Lepisosteus oculatus: one gene and its partners. The protein of the gene in region 3 purifies or fractionates together with the protein of the main gene of each other region. This does not show direct contact. Links are inferred from orthologs where the notes say so. Each region holds a gene or a part of one and is shown on either strand. Other genes may lie near its edges.

The links.
Region 1: the proteins of plk1 (region 3) and farp2 purify together in Homo sapiens (affinity purification with mass spectrometry; 3 studies listed by BioGRID and IntAct, with this or other methods). This does not show direct contact. The link is inferred for Lepisosteus oculatus from reciprocal best matches to the Homo sapiens genes PLK1 and FARP2.
Region 2: the proteins of plk1 (region 3) and DDB1- and CUL4-associated factor 1 purify together in Homo sapiens (affinity purification with mass spectrometry; 3 studies listed by BioGRID and IntAct, with this or other methods). This does not show direct contact. The link is inferred for Lepisosteus oculatus from reciprocal best matches to the Homo sapiens genes PLK1 and DCAF1.
Region 4: the proteins of plk1 (region 3) and rai14 purify together in Homo sapiens (affinity purification with mass spectrometry; 4 studies listed by BioGRID and IntAct, counting the BioPlex papers as one, with this or other methods). This does not show direct contact. The link is inferred for Lepisosteus oculatus from reciprocal best matches to the Homo sapiens genes PLK1 and RAI14.

Annotation. Positions count from the first base shown.
Region 1 is NC_090708.1:12,321,917-12,329,087, reverse strand, and holds the start of farp2 (FERM, ARHGEF and pleckstrin domain-containing protein 2), read right to left. Parts: upstream 3,069-7,171; 5' UTR 3,038-3,068; intron 2,968-3,037; exon of another isoform or gene 2,864-2,967; intron 1,742-2,863; exon of another isoform or gene 1,719-1,741; intron 1,212-1,718; exon of another isoform or gene 1,106-1,211; intron 1-1,105. Other genes in the region: ephexin-1, read right to left, coding at 5,860-6,053. UniProt on the Homo sapiens protein: Functions as a guanine nucleotide exchange factor that activates RAC1. May have relatively low activity. Plays a role in the response to class 3 semaphorins and remodeling of the actin cytoskeleton.
Region 2 is NC_090699.1:58,783,006-58,790,707, reverse strand, and holds the start of DDB1- and CUL4-associated factor 1, read left to right. Parts: upstream 1-4,617; 5' UTR 4,618-5,227; coding exon 5,228-5,237; intron 5,238-7,702. UniProt on the Homo sapiens protein: Acts both as a substrate recognition component of E3 ubiquitin-protein ligase complexes and as an atypical serine/threonine-protein kinase, playing key roles in various processes such as cell cycle, telomerase regulation and histone modification.
Region 3 is NC_090714.1:12,120,308-12,128,007, reverse strand, and holds the start of plk1 (serine/threonine-protein kinase PLK1), read right to left. Parts: upstream 3,068-7,700; 5' UTR 2,659-3,067; coding exon 2,290-2,658; intron 1,287-2,289; coding exon 1,118-1,286; intron 233-1,117; coding exon 88-232; intron 1-87. UniProt on the Homo sapiens protein: Serine/threonine-protein kinase that performs several important functions throughout M phase of the cell cycle, including the regulation of centrosome maturation and spindle assembly, the removal of cohesins from chromosome arms, the inactivation of anaphase-promoting complex/cyclosome (APC/C) inhibitors, and the regulation of mitotic exit and cytokinesis.
Region 4 is NC_090698.1:16,594,486-16,602,218, forward strand, and holds the start of rai14 (ankycorbin), read right to left. Parts: upstream 3,082-7,733; 5' UTR 2,836-3,081; intron 2,154-2,835; 5' UTR 2,119-2,153; coding exon 2,083-2,118; intron 1-2,082. UniProt on the Homo sapiens protein: Plays a role in actin regulation at the ectoplasmic specialization, a type of cell junction specific to testis. Important for establishment of sperm polarity and normal spermatid adhesion.

The DNA of each region.
Region 1 (7,171 bases), on a different chromosome or scaffold from region 3:
TACAACAACAGTCTAACGGTTTATGTATTTAAGCCCAAATGACTCAAGTGTGTTGTGGGCAGTCATGAATGATCAATTAATCAAAGTGCCGCCAAACATGTAATCAATATTGAGAATCTGTATACTTTACTTTGCTAAAGACAGACAGAGAGCAATGTTTATCTCTCTTTGATGCTTTGTTTGGTACTCAGCCACCACAGAAGAGGTGACTGCGGTTAAGTACTGTTTATAAAATAACGTGCCCGTATTTTAAATCCAACTGACTGAAGTCAAGAAAAAAAAGCCATGATTTAAAAATCAACTGTTTTAGAGTGAGATCACAGAACTTTCTTAGACAGAGGATCTTTTAGTGTTAAATCTATTTTGTACAGCAAAACGCCTTCTCTCTGAGGACTGGGAGAAAGTGTCAAAATGTCACTATTCTGGCAACGCCAATGTCAACAACACCTATTAGAGAGACAGCCCAAGTCAGACAAACACTGCTAAGGCTCTTTTAACGACAGTACGACACACTGCTAGCCTAGCAGTACTCAGAGACATGTTAAATACTCATGTGTATGAATTACTGTAATAGTGAGAAAAAGAACAGTTCAAATAAGTCAATTTACAGGAAGCCCCTTCAAAAGACCATGTAGAGGTTATTTTGAGATATCTTCCAAGACTTATTTTGCATTAACACCCACAAGAAAGAATAAATCACATAGGTTCAGTACTAGAAGTGAAACACCAGTATAAAAGTTGGTGTATTCTTTTTGTTTTTGCTTCATGTCCCAAGTCATCCTGTACACAGTAAAAGTACAGGAAGGGGGTGTTTTCACATGGCATTACACGTATTGAATCTTAAATTAAAGATCAGGAAACATCTCCAAAGACACAAGAAAACTACAATATGATACAAAAAGCAAAATACCACTGTAATACACTGAAAAAACCTTAACCCAGTACCATAATATATCCCTATAGCTTTTTTGGTATTCCAGCCTATAATTTTTGATTGTCTGCATTTAATTTCTTAATTGTTAACTCGGAATTGTCAAATAATCCACAACTTAAAAACCACCTTTGGGGAACACCCAATGTCTTAGTCAGTAGTGTAAATGTCTACCTTTTGCTATTCTTATTTCACTCAAGTTGGTCGAGATACCGAGAACTGTGCCGTGGTGGTAAAAACCATCCAGCTATTTTTATAATTCCGTGTTATCGATGCAGGTCAAGGAAACTCTTCCTCATTGTGTACCGTCAGTGAAAAGCTTGCAAGTATTTTGATTGTGACAATAAAGCCGCCCTCCACCTTGTTGACTATCTGACGTCACCCCCTTCTGTTACAGTAGCAGGCCGTGCGACAACTCGGTTTGTTGACATTTTCCCGGGGTCAGTCAACGCGCATCCTGACGACTCCAGAGCAACCGGCTTCTCGGCGTGAGGGAGAAATAAACTCTCATCAGGCTGTTTGTTTTTCTGAAGAGAAGAAACGTGACCAAATAATCCCTCGACAGTCTCATTTTACAATACAACAATATCCACTGACATTTTTGCTTCAAGACTGTTTCCAAGACACCACGCTTCGTTTGGGCCATACCTCCACACTGTGCTGTTCCCAAAAGAGGGCACAGTGAATCATTTCTAATTCCGACTCCCACAACACGTCGACATTGCTACCCACACATTTCCGCGGAATAAAGCCCATGTCGTTCGGAGAACGGTGACCATCCTTTCACCTTTCTTTGTGTTGTCCGATCAAAACCTAGAAATCTGAACTTCGTTTGCTGAACCAACTACAGCACACTTGCTCGCGTTTCTCCGTTACATTATCGCCGCACATTTCCAACAAACGAGACTTTCATTTAAGCAAGTTCAAAGGGCACGGCCGAGCAACTATCGCTATCAACAGCAGCTTTATGGGGGAGAAAACCTATTATGCCTAGTCACGGTTGTATGATGAAGGGCTTGCTGCTGGTTTTGGATATACAGTATTACTCAAATGCGACATCTTTTAATATTACAGAAAGGCAAGTGTATAAACTTTTGGGAAAACACGCAATCGCTGAAATGCTGTATATTCCTGAAAACAGGTTGCGACTGGAGTAAACTTTACTGGCGTTAAAAAAAAACAGGTATTCGCCCATCCACTCGACTAAACCAGCTCCTTTAAAACGGGAATTTCCAAATGTGTTGTACCTTGCCCCAGAATACTAAGATTAAATTCTTAAAACGTTTGGTGTCAATAAGGTTTGAACTGAACTAAGCAGCACATCGCAATCGGTGGTTAATAATGCATGACAGAGTCGCATGGCCACGTTCCCGAAGTCTAAATGTTTGTTAAAGTCCATCCAACATTTTTGCATGTACATGTCGCTGAGATTTGATGTCAAAATATGTTTTTGTTCTAGAAGCATTAATTACTGTCGTGATCAAATTACTACCTTAGGTAAAACAAAACATTTAATGCAAAACTTTTATTTAATAAAGGGCGGATTAAACATTAAATCTCATCTAACACATGCATTTCATTTGATCAACTTTCTTCAACTTTACGCTCAACACTGGCGCACGACTGAGATATACGATTGCTTCCGATCGTACCCGATGCAAATAGAAGTGCGAGGTGAAATCTTTTTTCTAAAACCTCAAATATATGAGCAAACAGGCAACTAACTCGGAAAAACTACGAATTTAAGTACGTTCAAAAAGTAAACTGCAGATTTTTTCTCTTGCAAAAGCGCTCCAACACTCTGGAATTTACAAACTTGGTGGGAAACCCCTGATTACATTTTCCGAGCCATAATGTTTTTTTCATGAAATAAAAATTACTGTTGAAATGTAAGGACTTAAAAAAAGGTACTGGAAGAAATTAATGACGTACCTGAATTTCTGTCGCTTTATTCCTAAAAATCCCAGCGCGAGACGCTCAGACGGCCATCGCTAACACACGGCGAGCACTGCTGCGCTCTGATTGGCCAGAACCAAAACCCTCCCCGATTCCCATTGGATAACCCGCCTCAGCATTGTTCCACTTGCGATAGGACAAAGATGTTACCTGCAGGAGCTCCGCGATTGGGCAAGTACAGCTGAATCCACTTTCCAGAACAATTGGCTGAAGGGAGCGCTGGTATTGATTTGCTTGACTGGTATTGGTTCGATAAGTGATGACACAATAATCGACTATTTTATATGCGTTACAAGAACGACAACTCGTTCCCAGAAATTCATGGGTAGAATACATTGCGTGACGAGATGAATCGATTACTTATTATTTTACTTTCTTTAATATCAGTAAAAAACTTTGATTCTTTCTATATATTACCAGAAGAGTGTTATTGCAATTCAATGCTTGACCATTAAAAATGTTTTAATGTATTGCGGCTTTCATAACCAAAAAGCACTTTCAACTCCACTCCATTCTTTATTTTGCATTCTTAATAGTAAGTTAAACTGTGTTCATTAAAATAGCACAATATGTTGTATCAAGCAAAGGTTTAGTAAATTACATGATTAGCTATCGATTTTAATCTTAGAAAGCATCTTTCCAAACTATTCTTGAGGGAATGCACATACATTATAGATATATAAAAACCTGAAAACGAAAAATGAGATGGGTGTGTATATATAGGTGTAGGGGTAAGGGAATACTTAGAATCAATCCAAAGAATGAAATTAACAGGAATATGAGACAAAACTAAATGAGCTTTGCACAACACTCAAAATATTACTGTACAAGAAGGGAAGTGGATGGAGTAAGTATCAGGGAATTGTGGGATTACAAAAGCCTAGCGAGGCTGTTGATCTGATTCTCAGGTACCCAGGGCAACCTGGGGAGCCTTGTGTATGGCCAGAGGGATGACCTGGCGACTCTCCACCAGGCGCACAGCACAAGTGGGGGGGCTGGGGTGGGGTCAGTCTGATTGGAAGCCGAGGCTTCTCCAACACAAGACACTTGAGCTTTAGGGTCAACACAAAGTCTTAAGGGTGCTCAGTCTCTTGTGGACACATATGATTGATATAATAATAATAATAATTGCTTACATTTATATAGCGCTTTTCTGGACACTCCACTCCAAGCGCTTTACAGGTAATGGGGACTCCCCTCTACCACCACCAATGTGCAGCATCCACCTGGATGATGCGACGGCAGCCGCAGTGCGCCAGAACGCTCACCACACATCAGCTATCAGTGGGGAGGAGAGCAGAGTAATTAAGCCAATTTATAGAGGGGGATTGTTAGGAGGCCATGATTGATAAAGGCTGATGGGAAATTTGGCCAGGACGCCGGGGTACACCCCTACTCTTTTCAAGAAACACCCTGGGATTTTTAATGACCACAGAGAGTCAGGACCTCGGTTTTAAGTCTCATCCGAAGGAAGAGATATGACAAGAATGTTACACTCCCAGAGACTGCATCTATTCAGCATAAAACACAGATGCTGATTTGAGGATTCTATCAGGTATTCAAAAGCCTGAACTGCACTGACCAAAACAACAAGAGATTTCGGAGCATTCAGACCGCCAGAGGCAACTGAACACAGAGGGTACGATCTGGATACTTTAAGAATTGATTTGAAGGCATTCTTAGATCAATCTGCTACAAGCTACTAGATATGAAATTAGCAAAATGGGCAGAACCTTCCCTTGTAAATGGGGCAACATTATTCCACTGGATTAGGACTCCAAAAAAGCAAAAGGACTTTTAAAGAAACAGCTGCCTTTTCTAAAACGAAGTCCATATTCATTTAAAATATTAATAAATAATTGAATGGCTATATATTTTGTTTGTATCTCTACATGTACAAATACAATTAAATGGTATTATCCCCAAAAAATGGTTAGGCTGGGATATGAAATTGATTTTGCAGCATATCCAATCTGATGGCTGTTTTAAGGGATTTCACGGTTGCACTTTAGCCTGATCTCCATGAACATCAAACTGCTTAATTCTATTAAAAGGTTGTTTAATTGTAGTGTAAACAGCACACTGTAACCACCATATAACTGCACTATAAAACAAGTGTGACCACAGATGAAGCAGTTCTTTATATGATTTTAGAACTTGGTTTTATTCAATGGCAGTATTCATTGCAGTATGTTTGTGGCCCCTTAGAAGAAAAAGCAGTTATACAATTTTAATTTTTAGTGCCTACTGTAGATGTGTAAAATAGAGTTCCACAACAGCCATGGCTAGATTTTCATCATTTATGGTAAACCTCAAAAATCACTGACATTTTTAATTCACTACAGAATAACATGCTGTCCTTAAATTAACTGAACACATTCAGATGAATGTCTTTATATTTCAAGTAGGTAGCTGCATCAGCATGCGTAGGCTGCAAAGGAACAAGTAAAGGTTTATTCCATGCTGAAAAGAGATGAAAAGAAATACAACGTTTCTGCTGTGGAGCCTTCTTGGGGTGTGACACTCAAAGACGTCTCCACAGCCGTAACGTTGTGTTCTTCTTCTCTTTTCAGCATGGAATAAACCTTTACTTGTGTCTTTATATTTGTCAGTGAGGCCTTCGTAGAGGGTCTACATAATAAAATACTATTTACTCCAATGTCTTAGAAGAGCCAAGGGCACATTTGATGATGAATGGATAATCCCTCTTTATGGCAGGAAAGCAACTTGCCAGGAGGGTGATTTGGGGTTGGCTTGTTTTTCATTGTCACTATAACCCACTACAGAGGAGGTGTTCTTTAAAAGGGACCCTCCCTGCCCTTGGGCTCAACAACATGCTGCTATGAGGTTTATCAGGTGTAAAAATCAATCCAGGCAGCTGCTGCACACACTTCCCAGCCCGATCCGCTCCACCTCAGATAGGCCGGTGCCGGGTCTTGCTGTGCCCACGAGGGGTCAGGTCTCTCCCGCCCCTATCGGAAGCAGCTGGAGACCCGGCGCTCACGGGACGAGGTGCGCCGGTTCAGCAGCCTGTTGGCCGTCTGGAGAACGCGGTACCGCTGGCGCAGGTGCCTCCTCTGCACGTGCTCGTTGGTGATCTCCTTCACGAAGCTGGCGGGGAACCAGCCCCGCTCCCCGTCCACCAACCGCCGGCCCTCCAGGAAGCCTGAGGGAGGGGGAGAGCAGATCAACCCTGACGCCTAGGATAAACCGCAGCCCTCAGGTCACACAGAAAGTTCGGGCAACGTGGTGGCTCTGTGGCTAAGGATCTGCCCCTGTGGCTGGAAGGTCGCCGGTTCATTGGGCCCCTGAGCGAGGCCCTTAAGCCCAGCTTCTCCAGGGGTGCCGTATAAATGGCTGACCCTGAACTCTGACCCCAAGCTTCACTCCCTGTCTGTGTGTCTCATGGAGAGCAGGCTGGGGTATGTGAATAGACAAATTCCCAATACAAGAAATTGAATATGGCCAAAAAAAGTGATCTGACATTTCAGGAGCTGGAGAATTTCAAGCATTTCAGTTTACAAGATTCACTGAAGTTTCATCTTGACTAGACTATCCAGCAAAGCTATTGCCAAGGGAATAACTGGCTTACGCCTACTCCCTGAATGCTGCAGCGAGCAAGAAGACTACTTTCTAATTGCCCCTCCTGAGCACACTGTGCCCTTATGAACAGGAGGAGGTCATTCAGCTCATCTAGCCTATATCGCACTCAATGGATTACAAGGCTCCCAGTTTTCCAATCAAGGGATTATTTTATGCAAGTTGTGCATACTGTTTACCACATTTTATATACATAAATTATCGGTTTTATAAAAAAAACACGTTTATTTGTGGTGAAAGTCAAAAGGTTGTTCTTTTTCCATTCAAAGCCACGTGCCTCTTGTGAAATTGGCCCAATTTCTTTAATGCACACAATTTAGACTTGGATCTTTGGGAGGTGAACTCCAGCCAGAGTGCACTTCGATTCTGCAGTCTAATGTTTTTTGACATGACATGTTTGTAGTCCCACCAGGCTAGAGGACCAGATTCAGAGTGCATAGACGTTTTCCGGGAAGCCGTAATGCGTCAATAAGGAATATTCCAGATTAAAAGAAGAAACACGTTTCGGGTTTTTATTACGGATGACTAAGGAGACGGAAAGACGCTTCTCTTGAAGGTTTGTACAGACCTTTAATTCCAAACAAAACCCTAGCGTTTGAAAATAACAAATGTGTACAGACATGACGTATTTAAAAAAAATAAAATATCCCCACAGCACATGACATGAGAGCCACGTAAGAAGAA
Region 2 (7,702 bases), on a different chromosome or scaffold from region 3:
TTTAGTACACTGTGTATTGTGAAATATTACATTCCTCTGTTCTTCCTCATAACTGAGGACGAAGCTTACATTTATATTGAATGTAATAAATATCTCTCATTTTGGAAATGGCAGAGATACAATATGTGCAAAATGGTTTGTGTTCTAAAGAAGCAACACATTTTCCAGCAGAGTGATACCTTCATGCAAATGTTACATAAGCTACTCACTACTGTATATATAAGTAATTACTTATCTGTTTCTATATTTTAGCAAAATGGTAGATTAATGGAAAGGGAAAATAAGTACTGAACCAAATATTTTGTTGAGAGCTGAAAATACATTTTATAACAAAGCCTAAATCTGGCAACACATACTGAAGCATTGGTTTAATATTTTACATTTCTTTGAAAGAAAATGCCATCAGAGAAGCAATTTATTTATATTCTACTTTACTTTAATACTTCTGCTTTGATGGATGCACAGAGTGATAATATATTGCTTTTACAATACTGGATTGATTTAGGCCATGAATACTGCTTTATCTTTATGTCATTTTGTGAATCAGTTTAACTTTTTTGTTATTGCTATGAATTATTGAACATCTGCAAACACTTTGTGCAGCTGAATATAAAGATTAGCTATTGCCAATTTTCCTCTGCATTTATTTTATCTGTATGAATCGATTTTTGGGTATTTTATTTTTTCAAACCATCTAATGCACACAGTTTAATTAAGGTATTTATAATATAGGGATGACTAAAAAGGCTTTTTACTTTTGGATTCTTCATAACATCGTGATAAAAATAGCAAAACGTTCCTCATTGTGTCAGTATTGAAAGAATCGTGCTTTCAAAGTACAGTAATTTAAGTTTAAGGTAGGATTTTTAGAGGCAGTAGCACCACCTAGTGTTTTTCTTAAGTCCACAGCAGGCAGGTGATTCGTTAGCGGTGATCAGAACGAATTTCTGTTGTGCTGTTGAAGAATGAAAAGAAACTTCACTATCGATTTAATTATAAAAACACATGACAAATGGTGCAATTTATGGAGAGTTCCTACTTAATAAAGGAAATAATAATAATAGGTTAGATTATTCTTTTCAACCATGCATCAAACTGTGCCAGTATTTTTCCCCACTGAAACTAATAATCAAAGTATATGGAATACTGAGTATTTGGTTACTGAAAGAGTAAAAGCTTCGGTTTAAACAGCTTGTGTTCAGAGATGTATTTATCTCCGCCCAGCTGACAAACTGAACATTGATATTGATACATATTGAATATATAGATCAAAACACACTTTCAATTTTTTAAACGTCTACCATTAAACAATTTTGAATGGTTGAAAAAATGTTTTTTTATTTACAGTAGCTTATGTGTCACACATGAAATCTGCTAAAATTCGGATGTCAAACTTATTTAACAGTGAACAGCAAACTGTTAACACAAACAAATGTCTACTATGATTTTGTTTCTGAAACATTCGCCTTCGGGGTGGGGGTGACAAGCATCACCCTGAGTCATCTTTCCTGTTTCAGGTATTGCTCATCTCAGAGCTATTGAGCCTCATAAATAAGTAATCTCTGGTAAAACAGCGAAAATGTGATTTGTAACAGCTACTTTTTTACTTCTGACTTAGCACTTAATAATATTTCTCAGAGTTTTCCCACTGTGATAAAACCAAAACTTTAAAGGACATAATAACTGGAATAAGTTAATTGTGTTGTAAACAGAACTAAAACGGTCTGTTTTGTGCACATTACAGCACAAAACAACACTACACTGTATCACTGTAATGTATAGTCAACTTGTAGTCCTTGAATTGAGCTATATTGTATTTTTGATTGAATGGTACATTTAATTAATACTTGGGTGTGTTATTAAAAATTACAAAAAAAAAACCGGACATAATTTATTTTGTAATTTCTTTATTTTTTAATGATCTTTAGTGTACCTCTGGTGGAAGGGAATGGTAGATTTCCTATACATCTTATACAGTAGCCTATTCAGTAAAACGCTAAAAGAACTCGTTTAGCAGAACTGAACGGAAAACGTCGGGTTAAGAAGTTAAATCTGCGCGTAAACACTGATTGTTTTCCTATCAGGATGACAATAGGGACTCTGTAAATTTATGAATATGTTTTTCTTTTTGGGATTTTATTTTAATGTAAACAGGAACAATCTATATATTGTATGTATAACCATGTCGCTTACAAGTCAGTAAAATATGAACGTCAGTCTAGCCGCGTTGTCGCTGCGCTCCGCAAGGATACAGTATATCAATCCATTATATGGACTTTTTTAGCGTTTATAAACCTTAGATATATCGGTCTGTATAATAATAATCTTTCCTTTCATGTAACTGTCCTAAGTGTAAGAAATAAGGACAAAGAGATGCTTTTGCCATTAAAACTGACTGGATACGTTTCATAATATTGTTAGAACTTAAGGCCATCTCGAAAAACAATAGGTAGAAAGGGAGCTGTTTACCTAGCTGTGAGAGACAGAGGATAAAAGAAAACCTTATACTCTGGTTAATCGAAACTGAAGAAAAACATTTAAAACACAGATACATATCACAAGACACAGTAGAGAGACAGGTCAGAGAAAGGGGATGAAGAGACAGAGGGAGACAGGGAACTAACAGAAAGAAGAGAGATGTTCTGTTCTTGGATTTGGTGATTATGCATTTTAGAATAGGTACTGTACAGTAGATTCTTTTACCTTTGGACATACAGGATTATAGGAATGGATATTTAGCACTGGGTTATATTATGTCAATTTAGTTCAAGTTGGTAGTTGTGTCAGCATGCGTAGGTTGCAAAGGAACAATTAAAGGTTTATTCCATGCTGAAAAGAGAAGAAAAGGAACACAACGTTTTGGCTTTGCAGCTTCGGGTCTTCGGGTGTGTCAATTTATGTCAATTTAAGACGTCAAATGTTTCTCCCGTTCACATGTTTAGGCATTATATACAGTATATGATTTCAGGGTACAGGGTTAGTGTTCCGGGTTTCTGGGTCTGTAGAATTTAGGCCTTGTTTTGTAAATGGTGTAACATTTATGTTGCATGTTGTGTAATGTGTTGTGTTGTTTAATTGTCGTTGTTATTATTAATAACTTCATTTTAAGTCTCTTCGCTTTGAACTAGGAAATGTTTTTGATGTCGTAATTGACATTTTCTATTGGACCATGTGGTAATATGGTACGCTCATCTGCAAAAGCTCTTGCAAATGGGCTTTTCAAGTTAAAATTTGAGACTTTGAGCCTTTTGTGGGACAATGTATTTTTTTAGATTAACCTCACCACTAAGCAGTTTAAGAAGAAATTTCTGAAGAAATAGACATAATATTATGAAAAAGACACAACAGGTTTCTTATGAAGGACGACAGACAGGGATTCAGAGTTTCAAAGTGAATTTCTCCTTCGCAGTCCTTGATACTGCTGCAGTATTTACTTGGTTGTCGAAAGATTTAAACAGATGCAGTTTAAACAGCAGCCTGAGTCAGTATTTGGCTTTCAATGTGATATACATATTTTGTAAAGAAAACCGCAAATGAGATACGGAATTGCATACAGAAGTAAAGTCAGCATGGACACAAGAAAATAAAAAAACATGTCGATACAACATGAAATTCTTTTGGAATTGTACAAAAGAACTAGTGAGTAATACAAAAGATAAGGCGTTTTAACAGTATTGAGTGATTTAAAAAAATACTCGTTAAACTCCATTCATCAGTTTTATTATTTCTTTCTATGTTGGATTTGGTAATAATGGTAGCTATAGCATGCTAGTTTGTAACGCTTTTGGATGTGTAATAAAAATGTAATGGACATTCTGGCTGTGAATTTTTTTATTTTAAATTGGACAAATATTATCTACACGTTTGTGTACAAACACAATCTGAAACTTTTTGTGTCTTTGTTTTAATTAAGCTCAGAAACATTGGTTGGATAGACAGCGGAACAAACTGAATAATCAAACCAAGGTTGTAAAATACTTTTAAAAGTAAAGAAAAAAATGTTTTACCTAGGGCGCCAGCTGCTGGCCGTTTTTTCTAGGGCCGCAGACCATGACACTTCTGATCTCTGTATTCTTTCGGAATTATTGCAGTTATCTCTTGATTAATTATTAACAGTACAAAGTAAAAATGTTTCATACGTTTAAATGTTTTGTGGTGTTCATTGTACATTACAGCCGATTTTATTAAAAAGTGTTAATTGCTTTCCCCGATACTCAGTTTTCTACTATTGCTACGGAACGTCTTCGCTTTGCCTATTTTGCAGCAGTACTACAATACCCAGAGTGCACAGCGAGTTGAGACGCGCATGCTCTGTCCTCTTGACGTCAAAAGTCCTCGCGTGGTGTCGCCTAAGCGGTGACGCGAGGAACGTGGTGGCCATAATAAACCTGGCGCACACGGGAACTGATATCAGTGAGATCACAAAACGTAGTGAGAAAAACGTAACATATACAAACTACTGACTCCCAAGATTTCACGCGCAAACGCTTCTTTCCGGAGTTGGCTGCAGAGGATACCCACGGAGGTTTGTGTGTGTGTGGGGGGGGAGGCCGAGAGGGACTGTGAGGTAAGTCCTGCAGATATGGAAGTGAGCCTGTGTCTGTCAGAGACCAGTGTGCAGTCAGGCTCTCGTTCATGCTTACAACCACCAAAGGGTACATGGGTCACAATACAGTAGAGAAGATGTTGGCGTTGCTTTCGTTGTTTAACTAAAAAGCGGTGAAACAAGGGCACTGTTAGGAGAGAATTCATCATTCACCGCGAAGACACACATGTGAAGAACCCCCTTGCATAAAGGGTTGGACTCAAGTCTTTACAAAATACTGGCTCTGTACAAAATTCGGCATAAAGCCGTTTTAGCAGTGCGGGAACCTGGTTTTCGCCGCTTTCTTCGGCGTTTTGTAATCTCAGGAGTTGCGTCAGCTGTTCGTTTACTCTGGAAGCTTGTTCACCAGCTACCCCAAATGAACCTGACCGCGGCCGGTCAGCGCGCTGTCCTGAAAGCTGGTTGGCACCTTCCTGTAGGCTATACACCGTAACCCTAACGTGTGCAGTGGTATTCAATTCAACACGTGGTTTCCTGTCCACCACTGTTCACTTTGTGTACAAGCGGCCCACCAGCTCTGTGCACAGCGGCGCTGGTGTGAGTGCATGGAGCCGATCGAGTCCACTGTACTGGTGTGATATAGCGCTGTCAGTGCTGTACCGAGGTAGTCGTGCTGGGTCGATGTCATACGGTATGTTACTAACTTGGCCTCTGCCAAGAAAGAATTAACTGTTGCTTCGCCACCGCCGCTGTCGTTGGTGTCTGCTGATCTGTTGCTCCGTAAAGCTATGTTGTAATGGTGTTAAGGCACAAAACAAAACGGAGGAAAACGTGCCAGCGTTTTGGCGTGCCGAGATCGTTTGATGATGAAGGGGAAACCATTCGTTTTGTGAGAAATAACCTCGTTAGAACAAAAACGCTCAATACATAAAACACTTTTCATTCTACACGTAAATCGATAGCAAAACTCGGTCTTGTGGATTTTTTATATGTAATATTATATACGAGCTTGCGATAATAGTTAATAATACATAATTGACAGTTTGTCAGTAACTCCACAATACATGTTTGAAAGTTTTGCATAATTGATGTCCCTAATCCGTTTTTTTTAAAGCATAGCAAAGCAATTTTCTGGGAATTTCCTAGAAATGTAAATGTAATTGAAAAATAACTTAACTTTTTTAAAAGTGTTTTTAACTGTACAGCTTTTATAGAGGCATAAAGCGATTTGAGTTTTTTTGTAATACTTTTGTAACATCATAATGTGCTTTCATCATAACCCCCATGGGATAGAAAAGCTTTTATTTCAGTAACATTGAATATCAAATCATTCTTTGCACCCATGCAGACTGAAAATGAGTAAATGTCTTTTGTTATTGTGCCTAATTAGTATCTCAATAAAGCAGGCCTAAATATTTAACTCTTTTAATCATTTGAAAATGTTTATAAATATTTGCAATATTAGCAATAAATACAAAAGCTGAAAAAGTATGCTTTTCAGAAATGGCAAAAGAGTCAGTTAGAGATATCAAAAGTCTGTTAAAAAAAACAGCTTTTCTACGTTTACTACTTTACTACATTTGGTCCAAAACAACTGAATATTGCCTTGTACTGTGAAATTAGAGTGGCACAGTGGTTAGCTTTGCATCCTTACAGTGCTGGGGGTCTGGGTTCAATTCCAGACCTGGGGTGCTATATGTGTGACGTTTGTATGCCCTCCTCATGTTTGTGTGGGTAACCTCTGGGTACTCCTGTTTCCTCCCAGTCCGAAAAACATACTGGTAGTTTGATTGGCCCGGGTGTGAGTGCGCTCATGTTTGTGTTTGTGTGCCTTGCCCTGCGCTAGACTGGCGTCCTATCCAGGGTGTATCCTGCCTTGCACTTGTAGCTTGCTGGCACAGACTCGGGCTCCCCTGCTACTCTGAAATGGAAGAAGCAGATAGAAGATGGATGGATGGATTTTGAAATTGCCAAAACATAACAAACAATTTACTGAGTGGCAAACTGCTTTGTGTATGCATCATTTGCAGTGTTCAACTAGAAACTCATTAGAATATTATTACCTGCAAGATCCGCAGTAATTTCGTTTTGATTTGGGCACTTGCTTATGGTCCTTCTCAAACATTTGTGTCTTCACTGGTTTGAAGACACTGTCGGCAGACTCCAAGAGGCTGGTTGAATGTTAATAGTTATATTTTGTGCAGATGTCCAGATGGTGATCAGAATGAGGAAATGATTTGTGGCTGTTTACTTCAGGCAGGGAGAGTAGACAGCTTGGAACCTCTTCATATGATGAGTTATTCAGTCTAAAGTTGAATTGGGGTTGAGACTGTAACTGCTTCATATATAAAGGAAGTTGCAACTGATCAAAATTAATGAACTGTGACCAACACCTGAATTTAATGAGTTGGTACATCCAGTATCAGAAATATACTGTATATATTTAGAAAAGCATGTTTACTTGAGGTCCACTAAGTTATGCTTTTTTCCATGTGCTTGCTTAAGCGTAATAAAAACAGAAGCAACTGGTGTGTGTGATTTAGCGCCTTAAAGATTTCCATGGTAACAGAATTGCATTTCTTATGGAAAGACAAACTCCTGAATCCATTATAAGCCATATCATAGGCTTTTGGGGTTATGTAAAGTGTAAATTGAGCTTAGGCGTGTTTTATTGTAAATTCCATCTGTAAAATTTTGTTACTTCAGGTAGAAGGGAGGAGATTGTTAGGCAATAGTTTAAATGTTTAACAGTAGTCAGTCCTGACACTGTCTTAAGTAGAAACTGTTTAGAAAAGCCAAATAAATACTTTTTTTTGTTTATTATCTATCTATATAATAAACAAATAATGAACAAAGAATACAAACTGAGCTCAAATGGATTCATTAATCTTCAGTGGACAATTTGGCAGTGGAGAATTTAATGTGACTACTTGAAAGGTCTAATGAGACAAACTTCAAGTTTATTACTGTATATCCATTCATCTCCTACTAGATTCTTAACTTTGAACTGTACCCTGTTGCAATTAGAAGTGGACATTAATTAACTTGTTCCGTACTCCCATAACCCATTGCGTAAAGAAGTGCCTCCTGTTCTCTATTTTAAACGCGCTTATATGTAGTTTACACTTGTGCGTTCTAGTTTGTGCTTCAGTGTTC
Region 3 (7,700 bases):
CCAGTCCAAAACCACACCGGAGAACGCAAGTCTTCTAGCTGACACACGCTCAATAACTACCCCCGCCCCCCCAACTCCAGTGCTTACAGGATGCAGCCCAGTGACCAGATGTCCACCTCAAAGCTGTGGCCCTTCTTGCACAGCACCTCGGGGGCGATGTAGTTCGGCGTGCCGCACAGAGTCTTCTTTCGCTCGCCATCGTACTCGATCTTCGTGGCCAGGCCAAAATCGCCTGCAGGGGGGCAAAAAAAAACAGGCAGGCATGGACTCAGGGAGCCAGGATGCAGAGCTGACGCCTAGAGCATGAGGAACACATAGAGGCACTGATGTCATTTGACCAGTCTGCGCACGTGAGCAGTTCATCTCGGATGCAACAGGAAGGAAAGTACGTTTTCGAGGGTTTGCCAGTTTCTTGGCTCGGGATTTCAACTATCAGCAACTAAGGTTGCTGCTGGAAGAGGCGTTAGTGGGGCCAGTTAGTGGTCTGTGTGGGTCCTAATGCCCCAGTGTAGTGACGGGGACACTATACTGTAAACAGGCGCCGTCCTTCGGATGAGACGTAAAACCGAGGTCCTGACTCTCTGTGGTCATTAAAAATCCCAGGGTGTTTCTCAAAAAGAGTAGGGGTGTAACCCCGGCGTCCTGGACAAATTTCCCATTAGCCCTCATTAATCATGGCCTCCTAATTAATTCCCCTCTATGAACTGGCTTCATTACTCTGTTCTCCTCCCCACTAATAGCTGGTGTGTGGTGAGCATACTGGCGCACTATGGCTGCTGTTACATCATCCAGGTGGGGCTGCACACTGGTGGAGGTGGAGGTGGAGGGGAGTTCCCATTACCTGTAAAGTGGATTGTCCAGAAAAGCGCTATACAAGTCTGAGGAATTATTCCTTTTCACGAAATGAATGTCAGCTGACAATTTTCTAACATCGCAGCTCCAAAACCCAAAGGGATCCCCCAAAAACCCCCTACCTCTAGACTGGAGACCCCCAGTCCACATCACTGCCCACCCCTCACTGGTGCCTGGACACGAGTCCAGATCTTTACGAAACAGAACCCCTGGCTCGTCTCTGCAGGCAGAAGAACAGTTTTCTGAGCAGGCCCAGCTGCATTACCTATCTTGACCTCCATCTCGTCGTTCAGAAACAGGTTCCCCAGCTTGAGATCTCTGTGGATCACTCTGTTGTTGTGGAGGTACTGGCACCCCACAATAGTCTGCCTCATATAATACCGGGCCTCCGGCTCAGTCACCGCCTTCCTCCTCTTGTGCAACTCCAGCAGAGACTGGAGGGGTGGGGAAAAAAAAGATGTTCAAAGACCTCAGTGAAAGAAATGCAATTAGGTTAGAAGTACAGACTCTGCAAAAACGTGTCAGAAGGGAAGTTTTACAACTTGAACAGGAGAAATGGGGGAGATTACGGGATGAAATACTTAAGTACAAAAGCAAATCAACCCTATCAAGTTGTAAGTAGTTCAGCTAGGTAGCTGCATCAGCATGCATAGGCTGCAAAGGAACAAGTGATAGGTTTATTCCGTGCTGAAAAGAGAAGAAAGGAAACAACGTTTCGGCTGTGGAGCCTTCTTCAGCTGTGAGGAAGGCTCCACACCCGAAACGCTGCATTTCCTCTCTGCTCTTTTCAGCACGGAATAAACCTATTACTTGTTCCTATTAAGTTGTAAGACGCCTCCAAAAAAAAATTTGATCTTTACGCAGCGGGGGAAAGTAATCACTGCACTCATTCCCAAACAGTTTGGATACAAGGGTAGCCAAAAGGTGCACATTTAGAGTCTGTTGGGGGGAAGGGGAGGGGTGTTCCCTTTGACACGCTGGAATAGCTCGGGCAGGAGCCACACTCCATAGGAACAGGAACTGCAGGAGGCGCTCGGAGCGTCATGGCAATGCGAGTCCAGGCAAGCGCACGGCCGGGGGAGGCTGCGCAACACCCGACCCGAGGGGAAAAAAAAGGCTGGCGTACGCGCAATCGGGTTCCATTCGCAGAAAAAATGGGGTTGCAGTACTGAGGGGGTGCGCCCCGCCGCCCACACACACACACTTAAAAACCACTCATCTCCGGGTAACCGTTTTTTTAGAAAGTTACCAAAATGGGACACCGAGCATTTTCCTCTAAAAATGTAACTTATTAAAACAGCAGGTGAACAACTCGCCACTATCATCAGCTTCATCAGTCGGTTAACAACTCGCCACCCCATCCTTTCGGTTACAGAAATGCCGGATTGTCCTCTCCTCCGCCCGGGCTCGGCCCGACCTGACAGTTACAGTACTCACCCGTCTCCGGCAGATCTCCAGGACCACGTACACGAAGTCCTCGTCCTCGAAAAAGCCGTGAAACCCGACGACGTGGGCATTATTCAGGCTCTTGTGGATCGTGATTTCCATGGACATTTTCTCTTTCTGATGCGGCTTCAGTAACATGGACTTGGGGACGACCTTCCCAGCGAAGACCTCCTTGGTGTCCATATCTGTGATCTCGTAGCACTTCGCGAACCCCCCCTTCCCCAGAAACCGGCCCCGGAGGTACCTCTTCTTGGTCCGGGTGTCCACCAAAATATCGGGGACCTCCTTTAGCGGGGCCGACTTGGGGTCAACCTGCACTGACGGCTTCATCGCCTTCGCTGCTACGGCGGCGGCGCTCATTTCGAAAGTTAAGCGTTTGAATATATTAATGTAACCTCAGCCCTCTTTACAGAACCTACCGAGACTTGTACTTATATCGATTTTTTTTTAAAAAAAAGGCAGATCCAAAACTACAAACCAACGGACACAGGCCAAGTCTTACAGCTACTACCCTTTCTCCGAGCCGCATAGAAATTCAAATCAAAACTTTTCCCCGCAGAAGACAATCGGCTCGATGTAGACTCATACGGAGACGCTTTAATGTTAATAAAAAAAAGTGTGCAAAAAGCGCTGTGTATTTTGTTTGTCAGCCAGTCCTAACCCCCCTCCAACGCCCGTCTCTACCAGCCCCCTCTGTGTCCTTCTCTGGCAATACAGCCCTTGTGGACTCGACAGCATTTCAAATCCAGCTCCGTTCGTTAAAAGCGACGGCGCCGCCCGTGATTGGTCCGCAGGATTTGAAATCCAGCCTGCCCGCCGCAGGGCAGCATGGGAGCGCCCAAGTTTAAATGCCCCCTGAGCTTTTGAACCAGCTTTATTGACAGCCCCCCCGGACGAGACACACAACAGCAGGAGGGCACGCTGCTTTCTCCCTGGTTACACAGAAACGCCAGACGCAGTCTTGTTGTTGTTGTTTTTGAGTATGGAAATACTGGTTTGCAGAACTCACCAGTACTGGTTTGAAATCTGACAGGACTGTAAGTATATTCTAGTGACTCTGGTCTAATGTTTTTATTTTATTTTCAGGCTTGTCTTATACAGCTTCTGTAACCAGGTATCTAGTAATGGGTAATTGTTGATATAAAGAGTTATTCTTTATATGTAATCGTTCTTCTATGAGGATCAAAATGATCGAGAAGTGAATTCCATCCCCACGCCCACCACACAAATACTGTACCATTAAGCATTTTCCTGTATCCGTATTCCGCTGTGGAGTGTTAAAAATGAATTTTAATCAATTAAATGCCATTTATTTTTTTACCCTTTACAGTGCGCTGTAAACACTAACTCGAAATTTATTTTTAAAAAGTCCTGCACCTCCCAGTTCCTGGTATATTTTATCCCATTTTAATCGGCACACTTAAAAATCTGTGTGTCGTCGGGCTGCTATGTGGCAGTTACTTGAAAAACAACGACCACCGGAGTTTATTGGGAGGAAAAACCATTACGAAGCACGTAGTTTTGGGTAAGCTATTAATTGGATTACAATGGGAATGCCAAAAGGACATTAGTCACTGAAGTACAATAAAACTGAGTCACATGAAAGTGACACCGATTTTCCTCGTACCTTGGGTTGTTTGGAAGAGTATTTTCAGGACAACACTTCCTCTAATCGGTCGCAAATTACTTAGCTTGAGCATAACGACAATCTTCTCCTGTCCCGGAAAATTCTTCCATTTCCTCAGAGCTCCGTTGGGGAAGCGATATCCTGTCTGCCTAAGCGACAGGATCTATTTTCTCTCAATTCATGTATATATATATGATTATAAAAGTTATCATTAACGGTACTGTAGTTAAATCGCCCGTCGTGGCAGAGGGAAGGAAGTGTATTATTCGGGACGCGAATTAGCCTTTCAATTCAAAAACAAAGTCCCTAATTAAAAAAAAACTACCGAATCCGTGTGTTGCTGTGTGCTGTGTGAAAACTGTTGATTATCGAGGTGAATGAAAATAAATATTTCTATAAAAGGTAGCAAATACAGACCGAGGGCCTTACAGGAACGTATCTAACACATTGTATTTGTGACATCCAATGATATATGAGAAGAAAAAAAAACAATTTAAAAAGAACAGAAGGGATTTGCGTTACTTATGGTATTGGAACACTCTGACCACTAGAGGGCGGTGGCAGGCGGGTCACGGCTCTGTGTCCCAAGTTCTCCGAAGACACTGAGTGCCTGGAAACGTTAAAGTTTAAGAACGTTTTGGCAAGTCCTTTCACCCGGTCGCAGATAATCGCCGAAAGGGGTTACATCCAGTAGTTTTTTTTACTACGGTATTTTTTTTGTAATTCAAGGCCACATTGGTCACCTAGTTATATCACTCCATTCAATTTAGCTATATCACCCTTCAGTTCACCATTTGCAGCTCACTGAAGCTCCGCAGGTGTGAGCCTGGTCAGTACCTGGGTGGGAGACCTCCTGTGAAAAACTAAGGCTGCTGCTGGAAGAGGTGTTAGTGGGGCCAGCAGGGGGCGCTCACCCTGTAGTCATTTGGATCCAAATGCCCCAGTATAGTAATGGGGACTCTATTTTTAAAAAGGTGCCATCGCTCAGATGACCCTGACCTTCTGTGGTCACAGTATTTCTCAAAAAGAGTAGGGGTGTAACTCTGGTGTCCAGGCCTTGATCATTCATGACCTTGACCATCCCCATCTATGAATTAGCTTCATCTCTATGTACTCTGCACTGATGACTGTACTGTCCATTAAAATCACTCAAGTCTCAGGATTCTGCTGAGATATCGAGGGCTTTACAACAAGGGGTGTCAAAATAAAGGGGTTTATGGAAATATGCCTATCTGAAAGCGTCATGCACTGTCAGAAAGGATAGGGAGCCTGCTTCAACCTTAGCTCCCGGCCCACTGCTATACAGTCCTTGACTCTTTCCCCTCAGCTATTTAGCCACCTGTGAACATCTCTTTTACAATTCACTTTGCTACCTGTTTACGTATGATGTGATTGTGTTTTGCTTGTCTCTGAATTTCAACGTGTATTTGTTAATATTGTATGTTGTTTGTCAGCGTAATCGTGTTCTCTTGCTGTACCAAAAGCAAACTCCACCAAATATTGTTGTGTGGCAATATCAAATAATTATTAACTAATAGTTAAATAATAATTAATTGATTACTTAATTTTAGGCGATCAATTTTTAAGTATTCAAATATATTATTACAGTCCAAACAATGTTTGATAGGAAAAATATTACACAGGAACAATACAAAGTTAATAGTGCACTGCAAGACTTTTCCACAACGTTCTTGCATTTACTGCTGTATATGTTACTATTACTTTACTTTCATATGATTGGTAAGGAAAGCAAAGTTTATTTTGTAAACACCTTTGATTATTTTTAAGAATGCAGGCACCCGTTATCAGTAGATATAATACACATGGGCTGGGACCATTCTGGCTATTCATTAACTATAACATGTTCAAATAAATAAAAATAAAGAATGGAAGCTATTAACAGACTATTTGAGCTTCACCCCCTCCAATCCTCCTGGCACAGTGTGCAGTGCGTAGGAGGCAGCGTCTGCCAGATTCAGACCGGATGTTTTTGTGCTTCTCAAGACTCTTTGGATCATTTGCTTATTTAACCTCCTAAATGGTCTATTCATTCCCAGTTTGGGAGGATCAATAGATACACATGTCTGTTCAGCACAGGGGGATATCTTGTGTGTGCAGATTTGAATATCAAAAGGCCACAGTACGTTGGCTCCAAACATGTCAAGCACATCTGCCAGTGCTGGAGACAATGGGCAGAGCTTGCAGAAGATGGGATTCATGTGGGTCTTGATTAGAGCACAGGTAACAGAAATAGATTCTTTAAATACACACTGTTTACATCGTGCCGAGAGAAAGAGAGTGTGCCTTAAAGATAGATGAGAGGGACAGGAATAGGGAAAAAAAAAACATCAGCCATCCAGATTGGCCTCCAGCGTGTTCCTGACCTGCACTGCGGTTCTCATTAAGACAGCTGCAGTTGCTCAGCTCAGCTCGCCTGCCTTCAACCTGAGCCTCTGTGCTCACAGGCACCATGGCTGGATCAGGTGAGGGCACAGCAGTGTGTCGGTTTCTACACAGCAGAAAGGGGGTTTTGTGAGCCAAAAATGAATTGCTAAACTCTGGGTGATGCAGGAGTTTGATTGTCCTCTTGCAGAATCCAGACCCCTGGGTGTGTACAGTACTCGCCAATGGTGCCAGCTGCACAGCAGGTCCTTGTCCTCTCTCCTAGCTTGCTGTGCCTCTTCATGCCCCACCTGCCCATGTTTCACCTTTAAGAGTCTACAATTCATCCCTGCATTTCTTTCACTTCTGCACCTTTTGTGGCTTTACCCTCTGTATTGTGCTTCGTTATTGCCTTTCTCTTTATTCTGTATGTTGGGTTTTTTAGTCCAGCAATTGTCTGGTATGCACATCATCTTGGATAAGTGCATCAGCTAAAAAAATAATACGAGATGCGTGATACAGCCCTAGAATCCGTGTGAAGACTAAATCAGGGGAGATGATAATGGACAGAGGCTGGCCTTTCAGTTATCAGATTGGAGCCCTCAGGTTTCCCTGATTGCGAGGAGAGAAGAGGTGTCCATTGTCTGCAAATACATCCACTCCGGTTTCCTAGCACGTTCCCAGAATGCTGTCGTGGGAAGGTCAACTCTTTCAGTACCACGCTGTCTAATCGGCTTTCTGATCAGACTCAGTGCACACGTGAGGCTTTTGTCGAAGGCATAAAAAGGCAGCGCTCTCACGTGTAGACTGCAGCAGCCAGCTCCTGCAAATGCCAAGGCCCTGCCCAGCTCTGGGTGGGAGAGATACTGAGTAGAGAGGAGTGCGAGGAAGTGTTAGAGTCAATCCCTTAGTCCTAGGCTTGTCCTCACTCTTTTGGCCTTCTCAGGTAACAGCATTTGCACTTCAACCCTGTGTGTGTTAATGTAACTCTGTTTTGATCCCCGGAGCCAGTTGTTCAACAGCTGCCACCTTACAAGCTGCGGAGAGGACAAATAAAAACAGATGGAAACACAAACACGGGCTGAATCATCCGCTCGCCCTGCTTGATGGCGTTGGGTCCCGTTCTAAACCTCGTGTTTTCGTTCTGCTGGCCGTCGGAGATGATCGCGTGCTGTGGTGCCGCCTTGCTCCCAGTTCTGCGCCCGCTTTGTGTTTCTGGATGAAGGCGGAACCCAGGTGCAGATCTCCTCTGGCATGTGAGCAGGAGAGGCAGCAGTCACAGCGGATACAGAAAGGATACAGGCCGTGGGGAAAGCATCGCTCGACAGAGTCGGGGGAAGAACTGGCTGTGGCCAAGATGTGAACAGGATTGTGGTCAACAGGGACAGAGAAA
Region 4 (7,733 bases), on a different chromosome or scaffold from region 3:
TCTTGGATCGACAGAGATGTACAGTAGTTTGATTGTATCACCTCACATTCTTGAGAAATGCCTCAGCTTTACTACTGCTACATGCATGTAGGATGAAACTCTGCGCTTGGACGGCTATTGTTTTCTGTGCTAAATTTGCCAGAGGTCCAGGAAACACTATGGGTTTTCAAACTCTATTCAACAACAGTTTACATCACTGCCAAACATAAAGACTAGCTTACAAATACTTGCTGAAATCACATTAAAAAAGGATCTAAAGAATGTGCAGGGAAACCACAGAACTCAAAATAACTGAAGGGAGAAAAAGCAGAATGGGCAAGTGGAAGCAGTTGTATTAAAAGAGGTGTTTTCATTGGAATGCTTGTTCTGGCTCCAATTAGTGATATTGCCAATGGACAGAAATACAAAAGGACCCACTTTTACTCAGTGAACACATCTTATTTTTGAAAATGCAGAATAAAACCTAAGAGGCCGTCCCTTGCTTTAATACATTTCTGTGTGGTCCACAACAAACTCAGTTCCCTGATGGGAGGAGTCCCCCTTCCATAGTTTTGCACACACTCAGAAGAATTAAAGACTCCGCGACTCACAATGACCCAAGGACCTATGGTGAAAAAAGCATAATGCCTGTAGTACAAAAGTGCAAGGATCAAGCCAGGGAGTGTCTAAACACAGAATGTTCATACTTTACCACCCAGCAAGTCATCCTTTAAAAAACAACAGACTAACTTGGATTTATCCTTTGAATGTCCCAGTGCCATTTTATGACTAGTATATTAAAACATTATTGTAGCTTGGTAGAGCGCATCAATACCAAGACCAGTGGAGGTAAAGACTGGAAAAGTTCTGCAGAAGCACTGATGAATGGATGAACTGGATTAGGATTGCAAAAGTGTGTTAGGATCCTTTGTTAGGATGAAAAGCACTTGTCCAAACAAGTTGTGCCTTTTGTGTTAGTACATAAACAGACATACTGTAGATTTAGAAGCAGTGTCCCACTCATACTGTAAATGGAATCCTCCAGTTTATTTGCAGTGAAACAATGTTTTTTTAGGACTTAAATAGCTCACGCAGGGATTCAATTAAATAATTGACTCCCCAGTGAACTGTAAAATCGCAAATCCTGTTCATGGACTTTCTACTTGACCCTACCCAATGGGAGGCTACCTTTAGAACAGGGTTTGTAATTTGCAGATGTTAAAAGGGTCAAAGTTGTGATTCCATCCTAGCTTAAACCAGGAAACAAAAAACCTCCCTGTCTCTACCCCAACCACTTAGATGAACAACTAGCTCAAATTTGGTCATCATTAGGCTGGTCAGCTCTTTTTCAACGTTATTGTCCAAGAAGGAGGACCCATTTTGCCACCACACTCCTTGAAGCTAAATATCTCCGTGTCCATAAAAGCAGGTCCTTGCATTTGAAGGATGCAATATGTTTGAACACTTAATCCCCGGTCCATTGGTGCCCCTCCTGAAGCTTATCTGTTTTTTTTTTCTCTAAAACAATCAATACCAGGAAGGACCATGCAACCAAAAAAGAAAAAAAAAAGATTCCAACAGTGTTGTCTTGCTTCAGTTGAATTTATAGAAATCACAAAACCTACAGACTTGGGTACTGCAGCTCAATCCGAAAGGACTTCACTTTTCACCTACCTGCTTTTGAGTCTCAACCATGTGGTGCACTGTGGTCAGGCCAAGTTCAACATTCCCCCTTACGAGATATAATCTGAACCGACATCCAGATGCATTTCTTACCAATGGTGAACCAAACAAATCATTTATGCAATAAACATAACGCATAACATTCAAAAAGGCAGGGCAATTCAGGATGTTTCTAACACCATGATCTACAGGGTCAAGCGATGCTATTAAACATAAGCCTTGAAATTAAGATGTTCTGTATTACACTGCTGTGGCTGGTGCTGGCATGCAGAATAGAAATCACAGAGAATTACATTTTCCCTGGCTCCAACTTGCAGGAGTCAAGGCCAGTTTCCATCCGCCTCGTTCCTCAACACAGACAACTCTGCCAGATACAGTGAGCACAAAACCATGCAGCGGGAAACAAAAAACTGTACTTACATCACTCTTCCTGAACTTTGCTTTAAGGCTCTTCATTTTTGTACATGCAGTTTCACAGAAGTCAACAAAGCCTGTGTGAATGAAGTACAATCGTCAATTTGAGTGCTCCTCCTCTTAAAAGAAAAAACACATTCTGGGCGTAATGTGCTCTCCCAAGCGGTCATAGCAGACCAAACAAGTGATACTGTTCAACACATGCGCCCCCATTGAAGACCGGCATTACCGTTATGCTCTTTTAATAAAGATGAACAAACGTAAAATGTTCATTTGCTAGTTTCTTCGTTTTGTTAGTCTAAAGTAACCAGCATGACGGTCTCTCTCTCTATATTTTTCCTACACGTGCTAAAATGTTTTAACCACAATAAATCTTATCTAGATTCAAATTTCACCTTGCTTCAATTAATTTTCTTTTGTGATAGAAACACATCTGCAGCGACGTCTCTTCGTAGTCAGCATATTTCCTCCAAATTACATGACAAAAAGGCTCTCTACGGCTTTAGTACACTCTCCCTTTATATTTTTTACTTGGCAATCTTTTCACTTTAACAGAGCCATCCGGACAATAAAACACATGTACTTTTTTAAAAGGGGGTGAAGGTTATGTTTTTCTATGACCGTCTGTCCAGCACTGTCCGGCTCCGCGAAAACAAAACCCCTATTCATTCCTCTACAGCCTCTGGTCTCTCATTCGTCAAGCCAGCGAGCTCTGCGCTCAAAAATGTTTTAACTTCGCCAAATGTTTTGAAGACTTACCACATAAAAAGTTGAGAGGCGTTATTAGCCAACCTGTTGAACAGTTCCCAAGTTTCACCCGAGTAAAATAAAAGAAGAGGAGAAAGAGAGGCTTAAAAATAATAATGAAACAATCTTTTTTTTCCTCTGAGCTCGGGGAGCACCGACAAGCGCTCTCGCATGTATTAAGTCCGCTCAGCCCATTCAGTGGCCTGCGAAAGTGCTCGGGCGCTCTGATTGTTTCCCTGGGTTGAAAGGGTGACGTCACCCCTGCCCTCGTCACAGCCGACTTTTTTGCAAAAGCGGCGGCTCAGTCAGGCGGTGTTGGTGTACTGCTGTCCACGGGTCTGGCCGCTCAGCCGCCTCGCCCCCGGGCAACGCTGTGACACACACACACACACTCCAAAGTTTGTTTCCAAAGAAGTGGTGCAACAAGAGTTTTATTTATTATTTTTGTTTCTGAATGAGTCAAGGCTTTGAAGCGTTACGAAAAGCTGAAGGTAGTCAGTCAGAGCAGCTTCATTCATTTGCAAGTCTAACAGTGTTTTGCTCAAGTATCTAATTAGCCTACTCCCTTATGAAATAACACAGCTATCCTGCCAGATGTACTGTATTTTGTTGTTATGGGAACTACACTTGGCATTTGGTTTCTGTTCTGTGGGAAATGCTTTTGGAGAGAGGGAAGTTTGTTCAAACGTGCAGAAGATACTGTACAATCTATGTTAGGTTTACATCACCCACGCTGTGGTGTACTATCGTTTGAAGGTGAAATAATGTCTTGGAGGTTTCACAGTGTGCTTGCAGGAGGCAAAGTATATTTCCCTCTGGAAACACAATAATATTTTAGTTTATTTGTGTTCTTTGTGCATCCTTAGTGAATACCTGTTTTTTCTATGGTTAAAAATATAAAAAGAACAGTTTATAATGGATTTTAATAATAATTGTAACAATACAGCTTCTTTCTCACCTTCAGTCCTTTCTCATCACATCCTTATTGTCATCAAAACTGACAAGCTGAAGGCACTGAGCGATTTAAGTTTTGAACAGAGAAGACTATGAGGGGTCCCGATTCAAGTTTAAAAAACATTCAAAAGCACTGACAAAGTCAACCCAGAAGGGTTTGCTTCTGCCACAAGAAGCAAGAGCATCTCAATGCTAAATGCAAATATGCAATGACAAGATCACTCTTCAAATTTGCACATGTATCCTCAATTCACAAGACATCTGTTCCTACCCTAATCTATGAACTGCAAACAGTGTTCCCTTGGAACAGTGCTCTGTTTATCATCATTGTGAGGTTTTGGTCCAAGACAGCCTAATATGATTATCATTTCTTTCAATTACAACATCTATTCATGGCTGGATATGGTGAACAGATGATGTCTGCTCTGTAGACATTCAATTATCCCTGAGCTCTGTTTCTTTATTGAAACCTTGGAATGCCCACATTTTAAAACTCTTCTTGTTCTTTAACTCAGTCAATTGTCTGTTAATTCTGTGAGACTGAATTAGTGCTTCGAATGAAGAAAATAAAAGAGAATATCTCCCGCTGCTGTGATGTATGTATAGAATGGGTAAGATAGTAGTTCTGTTTACCCTGGCCTTAGCAGTGTGTCTGTTTACAGTGACAGCTTCCAGAACCTTTCTTACAGGGGAGCAGGTCTTCTGGATCTTTTTAAATCATCCTTAGATAACAGCCTCAAACACTTTCATTTAAACTAATTAAGTATTTAACTTTCTGTATCTCTACAAATAGTGTACCATTGTGGTCGTAATATAATTTATATATTTTTTTTCTTTGCATAGTCTGCTTCACTTTAGTTTTGCTTTGGTTTTCTAATTTTACATTTTTAGTTTTTCTCAAATTTATTTTGCATTTTACATTGATTTACAAATATCACAATTGAAGTCTCATGGAGCAAGACTTACTTCAGGCTCTGTAGTGGAGAGAAAGAAGCCAATAAATTAAGAACAGAAAACATTCGTTTAAAAATAGCATACAGTATGTGCAATTATCTTGCAGCCACTAATTATCTTATACCATTCCCTCGCACATAAATTAAACAATGGATGCTCTTCAATTTGTCTCATTAAAGATACATTTATAATTTCTCAACAAACTTGATCCTATCATGTTGAGAAAGTTTGATACAGTGATAATATATCTGCAGCACAGCACCAGACACACTACTGAGGAGACACAAACACAGCAGTATCTTGTGAAGTGACAGACAATTATGCTGAAGGTAGATGTGGAAGTGTTGAACTCTCGTATATTTAAAAAAACATCCAAAGATCACTCTGTGGCTTTTAGTTTCTGAAAAATATACAATTTACATCATACATCCCCTTTGATTCAGTTTGGAGGAGAGTCAAATCTGGGGCCTGGCTGAACCCACACATATACTGAACATGACCACTTCTGTCACGTCTAAACATACAAACCTAATGACAGATTGGATTTGTCTCCCAAATTTGTGTATCTGTTACAGAATTATGTGGATTAAAGGAGCTATTCATATCGCCAAATCCAATCCTTTTAGCTCACATCTTGTATGCCCTGTTTTATGTGTTTCGTTGGTTGTTGTTTTGTATTCTGGCTTCTACAGTGTTTAGCTCATTAACTGTCTATAACTATAACTACAATATAATCTATTAACCTTAATTTTAATCTAGAAAATGAATACACAAACATGGGCCTTAAATATCTGTGTGTATGCAGTCAAAGATAAAAGTACAACTAAGGGTTAATTACACACTGAAAAGTAGAAAGAAGAAACACAATGTTTAAAATGTAGAGCCTCTTTCAGGTGTGAGGGCCGAAATACAAAGCACAGGAGAACACAGGACAGAGCAGGTGAGAACCGGCACACAGGTGAGAATGAGTAACCACAGGAAGAGGGCTCTGGAGGGAGGTGGGAAAAGCTGAAATCGGTCAATAAGAGAGCAGGTTTAAAAAGACATGTGATAACACGAAAAAATGGAACAATCCCACAGTAAGTTAGTAAACTGTGTGCACTGGCATCCATTATATGGCATCTGGCATCTGTTATAAAGTGGAAGCTTCTGTCCTGAGAGACCTGTCCTCATTCTTTGATGTGAGCATTCTTGAGTCCAGTCGGATTGATGGATTTATTCACGAGCACAGAGTATTTCAGATTTACCATAATCATTTCTGTCAGATTCAAGTCAGCTGATTGGCACAGCCAGCACTGCCCTTGGACCCTTAACACTGCCTTTAATTGTCCTTCTTTCTCACACGCGTTTCCCAGTCCACAAACAGCTAAGGTAAATTAGACACTGGACAGAATGAAGAAAACATTACTAGGAAACAGTAACACAGATATCCCAGACATATCTTTTTGCATAAACATGATCAATTCTTTCTGTTGGTGCTTAGCTAAAAGTCTCTTATTTTTATGAGTATCTACAAAGTTTATATGAAATGTATAGCTCCTAAAGAGATTTCACTTGGTTACTAACCATACATTATTTATAACAAGACAAAGACAAAAACTAGTAGTGCATTGTAGTGTATCAATTTTTGTAAGTGAATAAGAATTCATATGAATGCAAATGGGTTTTAAAACTGCACTTTTTGTGCAGTAGGGCTGTTTTATCTTTGTAATATTTCATCTGGGATAGTACCCTCTGTTGCAGTAGGGGGTAGTATTAACACTGCTTACAGAACTTTCATCATTTTGGCAATACAGGATAATGAACTGAATGTATGGCTTCTTTGTTTTTCATAACCGTGGTAATTTAGACACATCTGTGTTTAATTCTCAGAAAAAAATAGCTATGCAGTGCATTTTCCTTAGTGAATGTTTTAGCAATTTCACTGAGTTGTCATTAAAACGTGAATGTCACTGCATTCCTGTTATCACTGAGACAGAATCATCCCAAAGGATATCAAAGCTCTTTATGTGCTGGATTGAACTGCATCTTCACACAGCTGAAGTACTCAGTTTGGACTCTTCTTCTCTCCAACTGTGAATGAACAAACTAAGGGTTTGCTCAAGTAACAGTGTGCTCAAACCTGTCCAGCTAGCTACCTTACACATCAGAAACCCAAGTAACCAACTGGACAACCATGAGTGTTGCCTTAGTCTTCCTGATGCCTTTGTCCTGTTGTTTGTGATATGGGTGTCTACTGAAAAGAAAATAAGAGTCTTCTAATGCATCCTTTTGGGTAGATAATAACTCCTCTGTCCTGGAGACCACAGTCAAGAAGGTTTGTAGGGTTCTTTAAATCTGCACGAGTTGGGAAGATCAATTAAACTCCTTCTTTATTAGTCCAAATGTGATATTAACTGTCAATCTGGAATAAAAAGCTACGGGCACAGCAGCCCCCTGGAGGACATGTGCTTGTTGTCTTTCTGTTTCTTGTTTTGTATGCTGGAAAGCCCAGCTTTCTCACTGACGACAGAGGATGGTTTGACTAAAAGCAAAATAAGTCTCAATACTCCTAGCAATAAAGTGCAGGTGGGTTTCTGCCCACATAATATCTCTTAATGTGAAACCCTGGCATCCCCCATTTTCTCATTTTATGGAATCCCATTACTTATGCTCTCTGGTTACTCAGAAATCAAAGGGTCATAGGGTTGCTTTTATTTTGAAGAGATTTTTCTGAGGAACTGTGGACGGTTAGAGGCTATATGAAATGGGGATCAAGGAACAGAGTTACAGAACTGATGTCACCCCCTCTGAAATCTAGACAGTGTAGAACTCTACCATGACAGGAGGACCTGGTCTTTTGGAGTGGCAGAGCTACCCTCTGTCTAGGGAGGGGCAGCCAGTGTAAATGCCAGCAGGGGCACTGCTGCCACTGTCACATATGCACCTGTTTGAGTGAATAACAGGAAGTGGCAAGGATCTCTGGCCATTTCTCGTTGCCATAGGAGTAGTCAATTCCTCCC